Linked DNA regions of Drosophila melanogaster. The protein of the gene in region 2 purifies or fractionates together with the protein of the main gene of each other region. This does not show direct contact. Each region holds a gene or a part of one and is shown on either strand. Other genes may lie near its edges.

Region 1 (5,992 bases), about 15 Mb from region 2:
ACACTTTGTATCGCTACTTTCTCCGGAATAAGTGATGCAGTGTATCCGAGCATCACATCGTTTTTAGTTATAATGGTAAAGAGAATAAATTTGTTTAAATATATGATATATTTTTGTAGGTATACGGTTACAGAGTGCATGCTTTAGGGTGCCGCATTGGACGAACATAAGCTAGGATAAATAACTAGTGGGTTTCTTGAACTGAATGAGTGATTTTGTTAAGTTTATAATACCGAAGAATGTCATTAGATAACCGCATTTTCATTTAACAAGTTTTAATCTTCGCTAATTTATAAAACATTCCATATGTGTTAACATATTAGATATTTATATATTTTTTCCAGCATTGTTTTCCATTCCTCAGCCTAGTACATTGATTATCATGCTCTCATGGGCTTTAATGAATTACGTTCAAATGCATTGTTCAGAATCTTGCCTAGAAAACTAGCTACCATAAGAAATAATATACGAATATAAATACTCAACGCGGTATTATCGCTATCAGAGGCTTACTCAATACCTTACTTCTTACATATCCTAGCGGCATTCAGTCCAAAGCGGTCTCCCAGCTGTGAGATCCGAGAAACAAGTCGCGTCCTTGTTGTACATTCACTATTACATTTATTACTTCATTTACAATTCATATCATACATATTCAATTGGTTGGGTCCCCTACTTAAGCTTAGTTAATACACAATATCTGAATCCCGACATCTCACACAAAGGAACAACACTTATTGTAATTGAGCTTGACTTGATACAAGTAAATTGATTTTCAGTTTTGTAGTTTTTACCTTGATGAAAATGCCAACGACAGTTGAACAGTATAAAAATGTCTTTAACCTATTCTAACTAATACAAAAATAAAGTGAAGTCCTTGGAAATGCATGTGGCTCTTAATCGAAGGGGAGCGGGAAGTTGGAAGATGTTCAGTGGCTCAGCCAGCCGCACTTGATAAAGAACTTGCGCAGCGAAGTCTCCATAGGACTACCCAACGATGGTGCTCCGCTCAAGCAGACAGTCTTAACCGAGAGGTAGGTGGTGGGCGTAATATTATGCTTCTTGCACAGATCCAGCTCGTTGTGACTGAGCAGTTCACTGCCCGGCGGCTGTGGCAGATGTTTTAGTTCCTCCAGCTGGGTGCGCAATTTCAGGCTCATGCTGGGCACCTGATCACTGCCTCCGCCGGCGGCCTCGTTTTGCATTTTGTGCTGGTTGCCGCTTTGCAGGAGCTGAGGATGCTGCTGCAGCGGCTGCAGATGTTGTTGGCTTCCCTTCGCCGAGTTCGTTGGCAGATTCGCCATCGTCGTAGCCGTGGAAGTCACTCCCGTCGTCGCTCCCGAGTCCACTGTTACCCCCATTACCATTCCCGTCGTCTGCAGCATCGTAGCTGCCGACGATCCCCGACAGCTATCCAAGTAGTTTTTGCTGGGCAATAATGCGCCGGAGCAGGTCGGGTCGGCGATGTGGAGCGTGTTTCTTGGTGCGATTGAATTTGAACTTGCCTCGCCGCCGCTTGACATTTCGCTAAATAAACGAAAAACCGAATTATTCAAGTTCTAAGGTAATTGCAATTTTTTGCCAAAATACTTACACCTTTCTGAGATTCGGTTGTGGGGAGTGCAAGGAAGAGCTTGGCGGCCGATGACTTCCATTGGAGGTATGCGTGTGGTCCTGTGGTTAAACATTGTCTTATAGAACCATTCGAACGCTCGTTGTTTGGCGCGTTTATTATGCAGTGGAGCTGAATATCGTGAGACAAGACGGAAAAGCGATTGTAAGAGTTGGGTCAGTTCAGGTAAGGACGACGGTTAAAGCAAGGCAGAACACACGATATTCAACTCGTCATGCATTCTCAGTGGGAAAAGCTTACTCCAAGGGGAATGAAATCGAAACTAGCCAATTTGACCATTTAATATTCTGTATTAAGTATTCCAAATCGATTTATCCAAACTTTTATCTATACATTCAACTTAAATCATTTGTTTTCTTTCAATTTAAGTTAATCTACTCATTGTTGATAAAATTATAAAGCTACCGGTTCCGGTCACCTAACACCTCTTTTAATTTTTGTGAAACAATCGAAAGAAAAGGTAATGTTTGGATTTTAATAATAAAAAAAAAAATAACAAAGTTCCAAAAAGTTCGGATTTTCAAGACCAAATAAAATATTTAATGGTTAGTTCGATTTCGGCACCCCTGTTGCGGAGCCTTAAACTTACGGTCTTGCCATGGCCATATGGTCCTGTAGAGCGGTGCGTCGCTGTTGCGGCGTGCTGCTCGAAATGTGTGCATTCCGCGATTTTGGTCAGGCCATTATACCGGTATCGGTACAGCTCTGACTGTCGAATGCGCAGTTCCTTTTCGCGCTCCAGTGATCCCAATAGCCGCTCATACTCGTTACACGTGTAGAACTGGGCGTAGACCCGAAATCTGTCCCGAAACTCGCGCTGCTCCTTGGTGAGTCCTTGTTGCTGAGCGTAATTTCTGTTTCGGAAGAAATTTGATACTAATTGATAGTCCCTGACCATCCGTTTCCTGCGAGCACGCTCTCTGAGTCGGCGGGTGTATATGTCAACGTGGGCCAGCTTAAGCATCACATCCACCTCCGTATCCTCGGAGCTTAATGAGATGTTCGAGATCAGTTGCTCTGCCGTGGGATCGTACTCCCGCTCAAAGCTGTCCCTGTTGGGCATGTAGCCCAGCTGCATGGCCTCATCGGAGTTGATTTCCAGTGGAGGCAAGGTAGAGAGAGCATTGGTGCCCAGAGGACCAGCGTCGTCGTCTCCAGTGTGATCGATAAGGCGGGGTCTCTGGCTCTGGGCCGGCGTCCAAGTGGCCCTTCCAATCGTGCCATTTACAAACTTATTCACGTACTCCTCTTTGGCATCCTCCGCTGACTTCGTCTCAATGTGCTTGCTAATGTCCTCCCAGTTTCCAAAGCCGTACTGCTCGATTGCATCCAACAGGCGGATTTCCTCTCGTGCCGTCCACGCCCCCTTTCCACGAAATACACTCAATATGGAAGTGCCGGTGTCCATGAACTGGTAGGAGTGGTTGTTTTGATGGGCGCCGATCTCCGCACCTGCGGCAAAGCACTGCGCAAAAAATAAACAATACAATATAAATACAGAGTCAGCTGTTTTTTAATCAATATGGTGAAATTGCCGGTTGTGTGTATGTATTATTTGAATGTCTAGATGAGTCAGTTTTTGGTTCCAAATTGGCGACGCATCTCTAGATTGTACGAGTGTGGGTGTAACAGGGTGGGTCGATTATGTTGACAAAGAAAACGTGTAAATAGTTCCTCGATAAAAATAATTTGATTAGGAAATTAAAACAGAAACATATTTCATATTCCCTAAATTTACGCTTTGTCAGGCCTTTTTTTAATACAAGATTCAGACACTTATTTTGACATTTTTTTCTTTTTAATTTATGGCATTTAACTAAATAAAAATGACACTGCTAATTCGTAAGGAAGTAATTTTTAATTAAATTAACTACGATAGTCTACCTATTTACCAAAATCAATAAACAAATTTCCTTTAAATTAACAAAAAGTTAAAGCAAATATTTTTCTTGTCAAGATCTGGGTGACGTTAATTTAGAGGATTGAGGCCATATGGCCATTAGTTTGACCATCCAAAGAGGGTGATTCAAGAATATTTTGTTAAAATAACTGATTTTTATTATTTACAAATCTATATACAAGTATCTAGAACCTCAAAAAGAGCGAACCACCCTACTGCAACATGTATACGTGCGTCGCTCGACGGCGTGTATGTGTGAGTTACTTACTTGCAGACACAAATCGAAGTTTTCGCACTCCGCGCAGTGCACTCGAATGCCCTGAATATCATCCTGGCAATTTGTGCAATTATACTTTGTGAATAAATCCGCGATTGTGGTCATTTTGGGCCAAAACCTGGATTTTCACGACAATTATGAGTTGTGCGAAAAAAACCTATGCCAGTAATGTGACCAGACGCGAAGTCAACGCCATATTGCTCTACTGAGAATTCTTATATGTACGGCCAACGAACCGAACCAGTTCATCGGAACAGTGCCGCCTATATAGCTAGTCTTAAAGCCTTTTTAGCTAATTTTCATAATTCTGTTGAATCTCTGAATTATAGTTAATTTCTAAATTATACTACTTACCAAAAGTACCAACACATTAAATATAGAATACAAATTTCAAACATTAGGCACATGTTCAAAACTCTAATGTTTATGCGTTAAATATTGATAGTAGTTTATTTAATTATTTTAAAAGTTTAATTCGAGTGTTTTGCCTTTTTTAAATTATCACAAAAAATAATATTAATATATATAAAATAAAACTAAAATAAAAGAAGTGCATATCAAACCAAAACAAGGTAAACATAAATACGAATATGTGATGGTTGAAACATTTGTAGCGTGGTGCTGAATAAAAATATAAAAAACTCATGTGCTTAAATGCAGTTCGATACGTAAATTTAAGCGGTGGTCAGGATTAAAAACTTAAGCTAAATTCTGAGTTACAAAAAAAATATAAAATGGGTAAATATCTTTTGTTTCAAACAAAAAGTGTAAAAGTAATAACTGCCGAAAAATATTTCGGTTGCTTACATCTAACATGAATAGGGCGTGGGACTGCCGAGATATTGTAGGTTACAATCATTACAATCATTGGGAAGGATTTGGGGTAGGCTACGCTGTATAAATAGTTGATTATTCGATTAGTTCATATGGTGAATACGTTTATATTATTGTTAGTATTGCTGTCTTACACCGAGCAGTAGCCGAATTGTTATGGGTTCCAGATATCTCAGTGGGCGGTGAGGACTAGTTTGTGTTGCATGTGGCTTTGGTGGCATTGTTGCTAGTTTACTCTTGCTAGTTAGCTTGGACCAGAGAAAAACAAAACGAGTTACACGATACAAAATGGGTTAACAGATCTTAAACAGATATGGCAAGTTACTTGTGCAGCTGCGCTTTTCAAAAACACGCACACGGCCAACAAAATTTATCAATTCGAGTACCTAAAAACGTCTAAATAAGTCTATTTGAGCGCCAAATTCGGTTTTGGTGTCGCACCTGCGTCTGATCCTAGGGACTGAAGTATGTTTAACAATACTGTTCGAGGACATTCAAGAGTTTGAGATTCACGATTTTCACAGATACGGTTCGATTTGAATTCGCTTGCGTAAGGAACTAAGGAAAAGTCACAGCGCAGGCGCGACCCCAGTCGTCATAATTGACGACTGGCAACGGAAACAGATCCATGTCCAGATCCGTCTGAACCGCCTGCTCCCAGCATCGAGACTCATAAGCAGGCGGCCGCGATGGATGGGCTCTCAAAATTTGCATAAGCGAGTAGTCCTAAAGCATAACTATCAACTAATTTGGTATGTAAAGTCTTTGTGTCTTTGTCATGGGCATTGGCGCGATGAGGGCTCAAGGTCCTGTGGCAATGGCCAACTAGCAACAGTATGACCAACATGCCGGCAGATGCCACAAACTCTGCACCATACTCACTCGGATATGGGAACCGATTCGCTGTGCTCGGTGTCTCGTCTTTGTCTCTAAACTCTCGCTGCTCATCGTCATCGTCTTGGGAAGCGTCTAAACATTGGCTAAGCTTGGCGGGGATCACTGGTGTGGTGAAGCTGGAATAGGTGCTGACATGGCTTTTGGCGGCGCTCAGCCCAACAATATGCATATGATTGCACACACTGTGCTCGATTTCGGGATGGCTGCTGTTGTTGGTGACGTTGGATCTGCAGCTACTGCTACTGGCGAAGATCGTTTTCGTGGGTGCGGATAAGTTATTGGGGTGTGTATTAATTTGCTTTTTGATAAAATACTTGAAGAGGGTTTTGTTCCTCTTTAGTTACGGTTGAATCTGCTTCTTGGGTTTTTTTAACTCAGCATCTTCGTCACGCTTAATCTCGGTGTACCGCTCGCCCTTAAGCGATACGATCTTATTGTCCCGGTAGCGAAC
Region 2 (5,398 bases):
AGCAGCAACCTCGATCTATTAGGCATTCACGGTGGGATTACCTTCCAACTTTATTGGCAAAGACTTTCAGGTCTGAATAAAGTGACATTGTGATACTAGACCTTCTACTTCCCAGTGCGCTGTGGAATCAGACTGCTGCTGTCGGCATGCGTAGCATATGCATGCTATTTATTATTTATTCATGTTCTGCCCTCTTTTATTACGCTGTATAAGTCACTATATTTAAGCCAACCGGATAAAGATAAAGCTTTTGTTGCATCCCGCTGGGTCGTAGACAAGCTCATTTACATAAGTTATGATATTTGATTATAGTTGTTCAATTCATTGATTGCATGTAACTTACGATCAGAAGGCTGATCACTCCAACATTATTTAAAAATTAAGTTCAATGTTCTTTGTTCAAAAGGGCTGTGCGTATGTCCAAAATCATAGAGGTTCCAAGCTGTATATAAATGTATTTACACAATCCTAAACCTATATGAAACTACCTAAATTATTGAAGAACAGTAAAATGTCTCTTAATGCATCGCTAATTAAATTCAACCAAAAAATTCTATATTACCTTTAGATTTATTTAGTTTTGCACATTTTTAGGTATTGGGTAAAATGTTAATATATTAAAAAAAATCACTTCAACAATTGAAATTCGATTCGAATGCTCGTCTTATTTTTAATAGTTACACATTTTTCAACTTTTGTGGAAATTGGCCACTCATTACTTATGCCATGACTTCGTTTTGAAAGACATTCTTTAGCTGTGACCAGTAGACGATGCAGGTAAAGGCATTACACTGTAACCAACTCGTTTTATTCCACAAGAAAGCTACCAGGATTGTTAAATCAAAAGAATTATTTATATAAAGAATTGTTTCACACGATAGTAACAATAATATACAACTTATTACAAAATAAATTATTTTCAAACATAAGTCGTCACTAGAAAGTCTAAATTCGGGCTGAACTTTCAACCGTCTTCTTTAAGTGCCGATGCAGTAGAGCGTCTTGCTGGTCCCGTAAAAAACATCGACCAAGCGCTGGCAGGAACTATTGACAGTAAGCACACGATTCGTTGTAGCTGATGATGAGCTTCCAGCACTACTGTTGTCACTGTGGAGCAACCAAAATAAATCATCATTACCAATATTAACAAATTGCTCCGTTTCCATTCCACAAATATAACTAACCTCATGGGCGATAGTTTCTTGATGTCCCACAATCGCAAGGTACCATCGCTGCACGCTGTGGCCAGGTGCCTATTGTGCGTGCTCCAGGAAAGAGAACTAATGCTCGCCGAGTGATCCTTGAGCTCAGCCAGCTGTGCTCCGGCGGCCAAGTCGAATATACGCACCTTCGTTTCCTCTCCGGCGGCAGCCAACATCTTTCCATCTGGGCTAAACGCCAGCTGGGTCACCGCCTGACGGCAGTCGGCAAAGACACGCATCAATTTTCCGCTGGTTGCACACCACAGGCGAACGGAGTGATCTGCCGATCCTGTGGCTATGTAGTTGCCATTCGGATGGAACGCAACGCACTGTCAGAAAAAAAAAATATATATAACTAAAAGTTCAAAGACATTTTTGGTTAAACCAACCTCAACATCCTGTGTATGCCCGGCATAAATTATGAGCGCATGTTCCTTCTCTAGCGACCAGAGGCGCGCACTCAAATCCTTGGAACCCGTTACCACGTATTGGCCCACTGGACTTTCGTCCAAGCACCAAATTGGGTAGTTGTGACTTCTGTATATGGCGGCGCAATGCAGGTTGTGGGCACGCCAGCACCGCATGGTTGCGTCTTTGGACACACTATACATGAGTGGGTAGTGGGCGGAGAAGCGCACATCGGTGACTCCTTTTGTGTGACCTCGCAGCTGAAATCCGCCGTATTCGTTGCTAATTAGAAAAAAAAAACTTTAGTTGATTAAAAATTGAAAAATAAAACCAATACTAAACCTGGAAGATGAACTTACTAGGAGTTATCAGCATATTTGCAATGTCGCGCCCTGTTGCGTTCCCGTCTCTCCTCCTCAGAGCACTTGACATCCTCATCGCTGCTGTCCTCATCCGTCTCCTCCTCTTGATTCGCGCAATTGTTCAGCTCCCAGGGACACCGCTTTTGCGGATAGCGTCTGTAGAAGCTCTTGCCGCGGCAGTAGCTCTGGTTTAACTGCCACAGCTGTACGGCAGAATTGTCGAACCCGGCTAACATGTGGCACTCACTGGGATCCAGATGGGCGGAGGTGAGGCCCCGAGAACGTTCACTGATTCTGAGAAATCGCGGCAACTCCACCTGAGACTTGAGTATCTGTTCAGTGGCCGATTTAAGGGTGTCCAAGCAGGCGTCTATATTCAGTTGTAATTTACTAAGCTCTGCAGATTCATCCGTTTCTACCTCCTGTTTGATGTCTGTTTCTAGCATAATGTTTGGCTCCTCAGCGGGTCGTTTTCGGTTCGACTTTTCAGTGAGGGATTTGCTTGGTCTTATGTCTCCGCGGGTATTAAGGGTTACTGCTGGTTTGGAAACAACATCGTCCTCTCCATCCTCACCTTCCAGGTCATCCGTCAAGCCAAGCAGGTGATCCTCACTAAAGGCGCGCTGCTCATTCTCCACTATATGGACATGCAACCAGGTGTAGAGTAGGTTCATAATTAAAACGTGGCCCCGTCGTTGGAGATAAGCGCATATCCTATTAACAACTACGGCTGTAGTATGTAGTTCGTATTTCGAAGATCGAAAATGGGCCACTGTGTCATCGGACTCTGCTGCCTCCAGCCGTGTGTAGCCACTCAGGGTTTGCACCAGGCGCATAAAGTAGTCCAGTTCCGTGTCCCCAGTGTCCTGGGCTTCCTTTGCGAAGCGTATGTTAAAAGTGGACTCATTGGCCGTAGTGGAGCATCCGTTGATCTTGGTAGGTGGTGGTGCATCGTACATATCCACGGGGGCCACCAAGTGAGCATATTTGCGCAACAACTCCACAGCGCCACGCGGTTCGCGAGCCTTGAGCAGATCCAGATAGAAGTGGCACAGCATGGGTCCATAAAAGCGCTTCATTTCCAGACGCAGCGGTTCGGCCTGGGCCTCCACGAACTGCGAAAACCGACCAAATTGCTGGTCCACAGTGTGCTGGTTGTTGGTGATAACCTGGACATTTGAAAAGGTGAAGCTATTGCCACCGTGCAAATCCGTATCCAGCATTTTGTTGACAGCAAACTGCTGTTTGTTTTGCAGCAGCAAAAAATCCGACCGCCGAAATCGTTCGTTGCTCTACGGGTTTGAATATTTGAACACTCTGAGGAATTGTATATTTGAAGATTATTCACTTACCACGTAGTTTTTCTGCTTCAGCAGGAGTCCCACGGCGCAGCGTAGCAAATCGTTTTTGGAGGAGGTCTTTTTGCTGCTCGCGCTCGACTTGTTGTTATTGCTGTTGCTGTAGACGGGCGATGCAGCATGTGCGTGGTTGCTGGCGCTGGGCAGGCTCATCGTTGCGTGTTAGCCTCGCTTTGTTCCGTATCCTGATCCCGTCCTGCAGTGCGTCCGATATGCGTTCGATTATAGTGCTGACAGCGGAGATGGGTTGTCCTATCGATGTGCATTCATCGATTTTAAGCGGCTGCAACAGCTGTTCTTTCAAAATTGTTTTCGTCAGTGATGGCTATTTGGCTTCTCTTTTATAACAATATTGATATTGAAATATTTTAATTTTAAATTTATTTTTACATTTTTAACTTATATTTATATTATATTTTATTTATATTAACTAGCTTTTTATTTTTAGCTCTATTATATTCTCTATTCTTAGCTAGTTTATTTGGCTATTGTCACCACTGAAGAAAGTCAGCTGTTTGTGTTGTTGGATTCCCGAGCGCTCTTGACAATTTCTTGTATTTTCGCTGCGGTATCTCAGTTCGAGTTTTTACGTGATATAAAACAGTACCTGGTCTTCAAAAAACGAGCCATTATGGGCACCACGACAAAGTTTGTGAACGAGTTCTGTGATATTATCGATTCCTATGGCGGGCGAGATAAGGTAACATAGAAGAGCCGCACAGCCGAGTAAATTTCCAATTAATTGAAAACACACCTGTTTGTTTACGTTTGAACCGAGTGTTTTTCCCAATTCGTATGCGCAAATTTAAAAAAATGCATCGTGGCATTTTGACTGGTTTCTATTTCCTTTTTGGACTGGTCCATTGAGGGGCTCGCTTGAAATCGAAACTGAACCAACAGGTTTCCATGTTGTTGCTGCATCGATGTTGGCATTGGTCTTTGGGTCTCGAACAAGGAAGCCACAGCAGTTTGGACCTTGCCTTACTTCTTTCTGATTCGCAATGGATTTTGTATTTCGCTTTTCGCTTATCAGTCGCAGTTCGGCGGCGATCGAGTCAAGATAATGCTCAATACTATAGCCGGCAAACCTTTAAGCCGCTACCAGATAAAGCGGATAATTCGTTATGAACGAAAGGTTTGTTTGGACTGCCGCCCATCAGGAGACACGCGATCCACACATTTCCACCATCGCGAGTTTATATACCCCTACAAGGGGTGTATACAGTGCAGACAAAGAGGGAATCTTGTATAGTGTATCTCTATTTTAATAGAAAAATCGAACCTTGAATACGATAAAATATTGTTCAAAGTATTTTAGATTTATTAATTAGAACAAATAATTTGTTATACTTGATAACCATTTGAAAATATAATATAATATATTATGTGGCTGTAAACAGCGAATGGGGTGGTCACGAACTTTGGAAATACTATAGGATATTTACATAAATTAGTCGTATAGCGACATTAGTATTCCTCCGAATTGCATAACTAATTCATTGATGGCAAAGCAAGCAAACTGAACCATTAATGGGTAAACAATGAAACCACCCACAACTCATTCCGGCCAGGACGGACGACCAGGAGCACTCCACTGGCGGCCATCACACGAGATGATTGTGGCATTCGTTGTATTCTTTTTATCGCTGATAGTATTTTATCTGTTTGTGACAACCAAGCAATTCCACAAATTGCAGGGCTGACTGGCGATTGGGGTCAGGTAGAGGCAAAGGTAAACAGCGATGCCAACTCTCGTGATAGAGCAAACACACGGCTTAACGAATTGCGCAGAACAATTATTACATATATGAAATTAAATACCTATTTCAGGTGATGAAGGCATTGTGCTACAGTGCCAAACTGGTGGCTGGCTACCATGCCAAGCGGAATCCGGAACTAGCCAAGCGATACGCCACCGCCAGCTCAAGGATCTCAGGTGCGAGAGCCACACTGCGTCTCATCGACGACATACCCATGATCCAATATGCTTTGGAGTATGGCTTGGGCGAGAATGAGCCCGATCGCGTCATGCAAGTGCTGGGAGTGACGGCCAACATTGTGGATTTGC
Region 3 (7,260 bases), on a different chromosome or scaffold from region 2:
AGGTAATGCACTTAGATACAACTACAATTACTTAATTAATTTTAACACAATAAAATATTCTTTTAAATTGTAACTTATTTATTCGGCACTTATTTAATCGTTTTAGTGATTATTTGTTTTAAGGATATCTATAGTTGTGCCGCATACCGTAGGGATTATAAGGTTTTAAGCTTCGATAGATATTGTTAGCGTGTTCGTAAACCATTTAGACCGTTATTTTAATACGAATTTTTGAATGGCTTCACACTATTCCGGACAATTTATGTTATTTCTGACCGACATGGTCGGCGGATCCCACATTTCGGCTAACCACAGCCACTGCACTGTTCCTTACCCTTTGCCACTGCAATGTTCCTTACCCAGTGCCGTTGCCTCGAAATCTATCTTCCACTTCCACACACCTGTGCCAGCTCATGGGATCCATCAGAACAGTCGACTATGCCGTTGCAGGCTAAGCTGGTTTCCTTCGCTCGCCGGTTACTGTTCTCAACACATGGAACATAATCATAACTTGCTCCTCGTTTGGAGGAAGATATACACAATGAGGCAACGCTGGGTCTGGAGTATAATTGAACTTAGGCATGCTCTTGTATTTAAAAAGTTTACAGCGTGTATAAATAATGATTTACGAGTACCTAGCATAATGCTTAGCCACGAAAAATAATATGTATAATTGTTAAATTAATTAGAATAAACAAAGAATTACATACAATCAACTAATAGATAACTAAAAGATAATTATCACTTTTAAAAAATGAAGAATTAATTTAAAAAATTATTACAATTTAATTTAGCATTAGAGAAGAGGCTGCACATAATAGCATGGTATTGTATAAACATATAACTAGGGATGCGTGTCCGCACATCTGACCTTCCCCATCGGTTCAGATCAGACGAAGACGCGCATCAAGTCGCTGCTGGTTGGAGTGGAGTTGCCTCCCGGATTGGAACTGTTCCCCTTCCAGGGAGGATTGCTGTTGGCGCTGGGAGTGTTGCTGCTGTTCAAATTGCTGATGTTGTTCATGTTGCTGATGTTCATGTTGCTGCTGCTGTCGGACAAGGTGCGCAGCAGCTGCTTTTTGAGGAGCTGCTGTGGCGAGTGGCTCTGACTTTGGCTGGCGTTGTGGTTGCTCTGGAGCGGCAGGGTGAAGCTGGGGCGGCCGAGGGGCTGCAGCTGCTCCAGCTTGCCGGCCAACAGTCGGCGGCGTTTCTCGTAGAAACTGAAGGTCAGCTTGTTGTCCTCCTCCTTGTCGCGTTCCTTGTCCTTCGTCGGCTGCTCGCCGCCATCCTCGCTATCCGGTGGTGGCTTCTCCTCCTTCTTCGCCTTTCCCATTAGCAGTTCATTCAAACGCTTGGCTGTCATGACTCCCGGCGATCCGCTTGATCCACCACCAGCTTTTCCTCCTACCAGCGCCCTCTTATTGCACCTCAGGCGATCTTGTGCAATGACATTCGATCGCTGAGCGTAAATGGTTCTGCCCGAGGCGGGATTCTTACCCGGCAGACCGTTGCTTAACGCTGGCGAGGGCGGCGGCGGTGTGCGGGCCAGCTGACCGACCACGCCCAGGTGATTACCTCCCGACAGGGATAGCAAATTGTTGTTCGCCTTCCGCGTGGTCAACAGATTCTTGCGGAAGGTGACGCCCAGGCCCTGGGGCAACTTCACCATGCCAAACGTGTTCATGGCCAAGGGACGAGGCGCTCCGGAGTACAGCATCACGTTAAAGTAGCTGTCCTCGTGGTATTTGGCATTGGCCAGCGATGGATGGTGATTGATTTGAGGATTTGTTGTGGGTGGCTGGCTGGCGGCCTTGGCCTCCAGCTTAACAGTCTTTACGGTGTCGCTAACAGTCTCCAGTTTACTGAACTCAAAGTCGGCCAGTTCATCCGCCAGTTGGTTTGCCTCCGTTCCAGAACTCAAGTTGGTTTGTATGCCGCCCGATTGCACGACATTCACGTCCACATTTTCGTAGCCCGCGTTGGTTAGGAATTCGGCTAAGACCTTCTGCTCCAGCATGGAAACGGGATTCGACTCGGTGATCTCGTATATAATACTGGGCAGGATCATGTGCTCCTCCAGCTGCTGTTGCTGTGGATTGACCATTGCCTCATCCGTCAGAGACGGCACGTTGTAGACGCTGAACTGGCGCTGCTGCTCGTGATCCTGAAGCTTCTGATCCTGCTGCTGCTGTTGCTGCTGCTCTTGCAGTTGCTGCTGCTCGAGCATCTGCTGCTGCTGGTAAATCAGTTGCTGCAACTGCATGGCATCGATGGTGGTCAGCTCCTGCTGATGCTCTTCCTCGCCATAAACCTGCTGAACCGCCTGCTGCTGGTACACGGCGTAATCCTCGCCAATGGTTCCGTCCTCAAAGCGCAGCCTTTTAGTGGCCTGTGCGGGATGCGATAGCGATCCATTCTGCGCTTGCTGTTGTGACTGCTGTTGCGATGTGTCCAGAGCGCTCTCATCGAAGTTATTCAGAATCTCGTTGATCAGCTTGCTGTCCAGCATTTCGTCGAGCGTCTGCGAAATGGAGTTCTCGTCGGAGGTGTTGGGCAAGGGCAGTTCCTCCTCATCGGGCGCCACCTGCTCGGCGGAAACCGCTCCCGTGATGGAAGACACTGCCTGGTCCAGTTCGCTGAGCACTTGCTGCTGCTCGTAGGAATTCACCAGAGACTTATCTTTGTTCTTCTCCTTTTCCGCTTTTATTCGATGATCGCTGGAGCCCTTCAACTGAAGAGGATTTCGGTAATTGTATCATTGAGTTATTATAGTCACAATTATATGAAATACCTTTTTCTTTGGCTGCAGCTCGGGCAGCTTTTCCGCATCCGTCTGAAGCTGGGCAGGTGAATAGTTGACCCCCATCGCCACCTCGCTGGAGGCCGCTCCCAACGTGGGAGTGGGCGGTAAGCTGCAGGATGAGTTGCTGGAGGAGGAGAACATGGTTATGGCAGCCGGAGCAGCACCCACAGATGGTGGCTCCTCCTTAACAACAGCAGCGACGACGGGAGGAGCGGCTATGGCCGAACTCTTCTTCGATCCCTTTGACTCCTTGTGATTGGACTCCAGCAGGGCCGGAGCTGGCGAGGAGTGGTGGCGGTTCTTTGACGACTTCGAACGCGACCTACTTCCGGCGGAAGTGCTGCTGCTGCCCTTAGACGAGGAGGAACTGCTACTTTTACTGCTGCTGCTCTTGTGACGCGACGAAGACGAAGACGACGTGGTGCTGGATGAACCCGCAGCAGCCGGATGCTGCAGTGAAGCCGAGCTGCTGGACCCGTTCGAGCAACTGGAGAGCGTCGAGGCCGAAAGCGTATCCGTGGGCGAACTTGGCACGATAGCCCCGCCCTCCTGACTGATTTCCGTGGCAGTGAGACGAGAGTCGCTGGATATGGCTGTCCCATTTGGATTGGGATTCACTTTGCTGGATGTGGCCTCCCAGACGCTAGGATGCTGCAGCGCAATGTGGTGCTGGAAACCTGCCTTCGTGTAACATCCCGAGCAGGAACTACAGAGTACTATATCGCGACTGGCCAGCTTCGGCGCCAGATCGTAGTAGGCCATGTCCGCCGATTGCAGACGCTGGACCTGCACCTTCGCCTGTTGATCTGCGCCGGCGGAGGAGTTCTTTCCACCACGCAGATACGTCTTCTCAGCCGTTCGCAGTTGCTTGATGACCTTTTCCATGTCGAAGACCTGCTGCCACTTTTGGCCCTGCAGGCTAAACAGGGATAGTCCCGCCGATCCCGAGCCGGAATTGGAGCCGGCCGACGAGTCCGGCTTCCACATTCCCGACACCTTGTGCTTGGTTCCATTTTCCGGATAAGCTCCACCACCGGCGGGGGCCACATCGTTCAGGGGCATTCCGGATAGAAGCTGTGCTCGCGGGATCCGGGGATTCGGTACACTCGAGCAAAATTGCCCCTTAAAGCACCTGCAAAACAGGATTGATTTATTAGTTCCAGAGAAACTTTGATAGTGACAGCTTTTAACTGATACTGCAATTCATCGCTGATAAAAAACACAAAATCTGGGGCTATGCACCATGAACCCCGGACCACGGAATCCCTACGAAATGCCCATGTTAAAATCATCACTAGTTTTCATACAATAAATTCGTATATTCTATTACATATACATATGTACGTGGTTTGAATCACCACCAGGCGTGTTTAACCCTAAAACTCAAATTTAATCTTATAAGTATATCTCAAGAAGATTACAACTTTATTAGATTTAGATTTAAGGTAAATTAAAACAAGAATAATCATTTAGAATTAATTATTTATTTTTTCTTTATTTTTTTATATTATAATTAAAATTTTTTGGTGCACGTTAGGATTAACATAAACAGAACCATCGTTATAATTAAATGAATAGATATCAGCAGAACCCACTTATACATATACAACATATCCATTGACCACAGGACCCTGACCCTGAATACATACATACATACATATATAGATTTTATTAGCAACGGAAAAGTATTGGACACTGCACAAACCACTTGTGGAGGGTGTGAAGACTGTACGTCTTGGAGTATTTCTATGCGTATATTGCCATTTTTGAATGAATCTCGAAATTTAACAAACTGTTGTTTTTGATATCGTAAATTTTCAGCGAAAGCTTACAGGTGAGTGCTGCCCCCGCCCCCGCGAGCGCCAACCCCTCGGTACCCGCACCCCTTGGTCTGGATCAGCTGTTTTTGACAACCGCTACTCGAGTGGCGCCGTCTCGCTCGCACTGCCGCACACATGCGCAGCCACTCACACCGACGCACAGCACACTCACGCACTTACCCACACCAATGCAACACAAACAAAGCACACGATTGAAAATCACAAAATAAAAATCACTTAAAATGCTCGCAGGCAATTTTAGTCGAATGCCGAATGATATCGGCATTAAATGACACTTACGTCGTTAACACACTTCCATGTTTTGTTGTTTTTTTTGTGGGTTTAGGTTACCGTTCTACCCTACCCGTGGATAAATCGGATTTTTGGCCGGCCTCCGTGGAGGAAAATGCCAGGTCAACTCGAAAAAGACGAGTTGGTTGTATAGCCTAATTGATTCTGTAACGAAATCAATTAAAGCTTTCTAGTTTGTCTCGCTTTTTCGAGTTTAAAGATTGATATTATGAATATCGTTGTATTTGCTTAGGGATGGCAATTCGCGTCTCGTTACGTTACGTTGTATTTGTTGCAGCTGCAGATTAAGTGCGATATGTTATCGATAGTCGCACAGGTATTCGTTGCATACGTAGCCGATATATTAATTACATGCATTTCCGCTGAAAAGTCAGTTGAATATATTTATGAATTAAAATCTTTTTAAAGGCGATAGAAAACTATACTTAACATTTCCTATTTTTACAAGCGTTTATTTGCTGGCACAAACTATAACCATAATTAAACGTAACATTAGTCATCTTCATCACTAAGCTCATCCTCCTCCTTTCTTCTGGACTTTTGCTCCAGTTCCTTGGCGTAGAGATCCTTGAAGGCTTCGTATTCCGGCAGGGTGACGTGGCAAATCTTTGTGGCGAAACTCTTCTCGGAAGTGTCTGTAATCTGATAGAGTTTGGGGTTCGTAGTCGGCTCATTTGGATCGGCTTTCGGAGGTCGTGGCTTAAAGAGGCCCAAACGAAGCAGGAACTGGTGGCGACAACGCAGCTCCTCGAATGACAAGGTAAGGGCTGCCGATTTAACCAACTCCGGCACTTCTATGCGCATCACGTCTGTGATGAAGTTCAGTTTCTCCTCAATAGATACCTCGGATTGTGCTATCAAATCCGGACTGTTCATCAAACACTTCCACACATTTTTGCTGGTGGAGACGCGACTTTGAAGGAAGCCGATGTGGGAAAGTAACTGGTGGGAGTCGCTAACGTCCAGTAACTCGGGGTACTTCGTAAGGAGCAGGTGCAGTAGATTCTCGCCGAATTGACAGGCCCTCCAGATTTCCAGGCAGCTTATTATTTTGTCCGGCGTTCTTTTCAAAATCGCGGGGTTACCGGTAACTATTCTAAGGAAATTCACGGTTTCCAAGCCGTGGTTTTGAAAAGTTTGATGGGCCCTTCGCCAGATTTCAGGTGAGAATACAGCTAACGTGGGTTCTATTTTGATGGCTTCATCGATGTGAATTTGTTCAAGCTGCAATATCTTGGGCGTTGCCAAGTGCCTTATGTGATGTAACTGGAAAGTAACAATTTGTATCTAATTTCTATCTAATGCATTCATGATTAACTCACGTTTGACTGTTGTTTTAATACAGCTTGTGTGTTAAATAATAGTTTCCGCAACATTTTTGGCGATGTCCTCTTAAATCGGCGAGCAAAACAATGAACAGCTGATCTCTTCTTCTTTGCAATGACAGTTACCGAGAAGCGTGAACAACGGCATGTTTAGCTGGTACACCCACCATATTCGTCTATAGCTTAATTGTCTATTAAATCGCACGCATCGAACTGTTATTCTCGTCGGGTGCACAGCAAATTGTTTATAAATAGAACTGTCGCGCATAAAAAACAACAGTGGAAAGTTTTATCGTTTAGTTCTGCTACAAGCTCAGCGTAAGTTTTTTTTCTTTATTTTGTACATATGTGTGTATACATGTGTGTGAGAGTTCAACTATAGCATAATTATAATCAAACTCTGAAAGAGATATAGCTTAATGTTATAAACTAAGTACTACCCGGCTTATTTAACCAAAGAATTCAAATTATTTGTCGCCATTTGGAACCGTACAAGTAAATACATACATATGTATGTAGAAAACGACATGTAAACTGATCGATACACTGATAAAAATTTATATTCAAGTGAAAAAGCTTAAATCAAATTTATAAATGGATGTGAAATGTATTTTTATATTTCTTTTAAATATACATAAATCCATACACAAAAACCCAACTAATAAATTGTTGATATTGAAAAGGAAATCATCCAGAAATTAATCAAGAGAATTAAAATGTTATTTTTGTAATAATCTTAAAAGCTCTGTGTATCAGAGCGAACGTGACAAGTGTTTTTACTTAATGAGGAAACTATTGGCCAGGAGAGGAGGGCTCGTTCGATCAGTGATAACTTTGAATTCCCGTACAGGTGGCATCCAGAATAACTCAAGTAATGCTCAAACAAGGTCAAACTCAATAACATTGTGAAATAGCACAACTACTTCTGGTCGATTTTCATTCAAACAATTGGAATGGGATAAACTGCCGGTGGGGAGTGAGATAAAGCGTTCAATTCTCT

What was found.
Region 1: the proteins of wda (region 2) and Ada2b purify together in Drosophila melanogaster (affinity purification with mass spectrometry; 2 studies listed by BioGRID). This does not show direct contact.
Region 3: the proteins of wda (region 2) and Atxn7 purify together in Drosophila melanogaster (affinity purification with mass spectrometry; 2 studies listed by BioGRID). This does not show direct contact.

What each region holds. Positions count from the first base shown.
Region 1 is NT_033777.3:8,236,509-8,242,500, forward strand, and holds Ada2b (transcriptional adaptor 2b), read right to left. Parts: upstream 4,008-5,992; 5' UTR 3,916-4,007; coding exon 3,802-3,915; intron 3,099-3,801; coding exon 2,223-3,098; intron 1,745-2,222; coding exon of another isoform or gene 1,675-1,744; coding exon 1,595-1,674; intron 1,528-1,594; coding exon 930-1,527; 3' UTR 606-929; downstream 1-605. Other genes in the region: PolI (DNA polymerase iota), read left to right, coding at 1-35; CG9636 (uncharacterized protein), read right to left, coding at 5,882-5,992. UniProt on the Drosophila melanogaster protein: Component of several Gcn5-containing histone acetyltransferase complexes that regulate nucleosome organization; involved in acetylation of histone H3, particularly on Lys-10 (H3K9ac) and Lys-15 (H3K14ac).
Region 2 is NT_033777.3:23,254,517-23,259,914, forward strand, and holds wda (will decrease acetylation), read right to left. Parts: upstream 3,572-5,398; 5' UTR 3,484-3,571; coding exon 3,325-3,483; intron 3,265-3,324; coding exon 1,970-3,264; intron 1,893-1,969; coding exon 1,592-1,892; intron 1,532-1,591; coding exon 1,185-1,531; intron 1,108-1,184; coding exon 978-1,107; 3' UTR 554-977; downstream 1-553. Other genes in the region: Pex11c (peroxin 11c), read left to right, coding at 4,394-4,465, 5,161-5,398. UniProt on the Drosophila melanogaster protein: Component of the transcription regulatory complex SAGA, a multiprotein complex that activates transcription by remodeling chromatin and mediating histone acetylation and deubiquitination. The SAGA complex predominantly acetylates histone H3.
Region 3 is NT_033779.5:2,373,807-2,381,066, reverse strand, and holds Atxn7 (ataxin 7), read right to left. Parts: upstream 5,227-7,260; 5' UTR 4,924-5,226; exon of another isoform or gene 4,804-4,923; intron 4,735-4,803; exon of another isoform or gene 4,395-4,734; intron 3,936-4,394; 5' UTR 3,866-3,935; coding exon 2,792-3,865; intron 2,732-2,791; coding exon 890-2,731; 3' UTR 561-889; downstream 1-560. Other genes in the region: CG15390 (uncharacterized protein), read right to left, coding at 5,428-6,201, 6,258-6,311.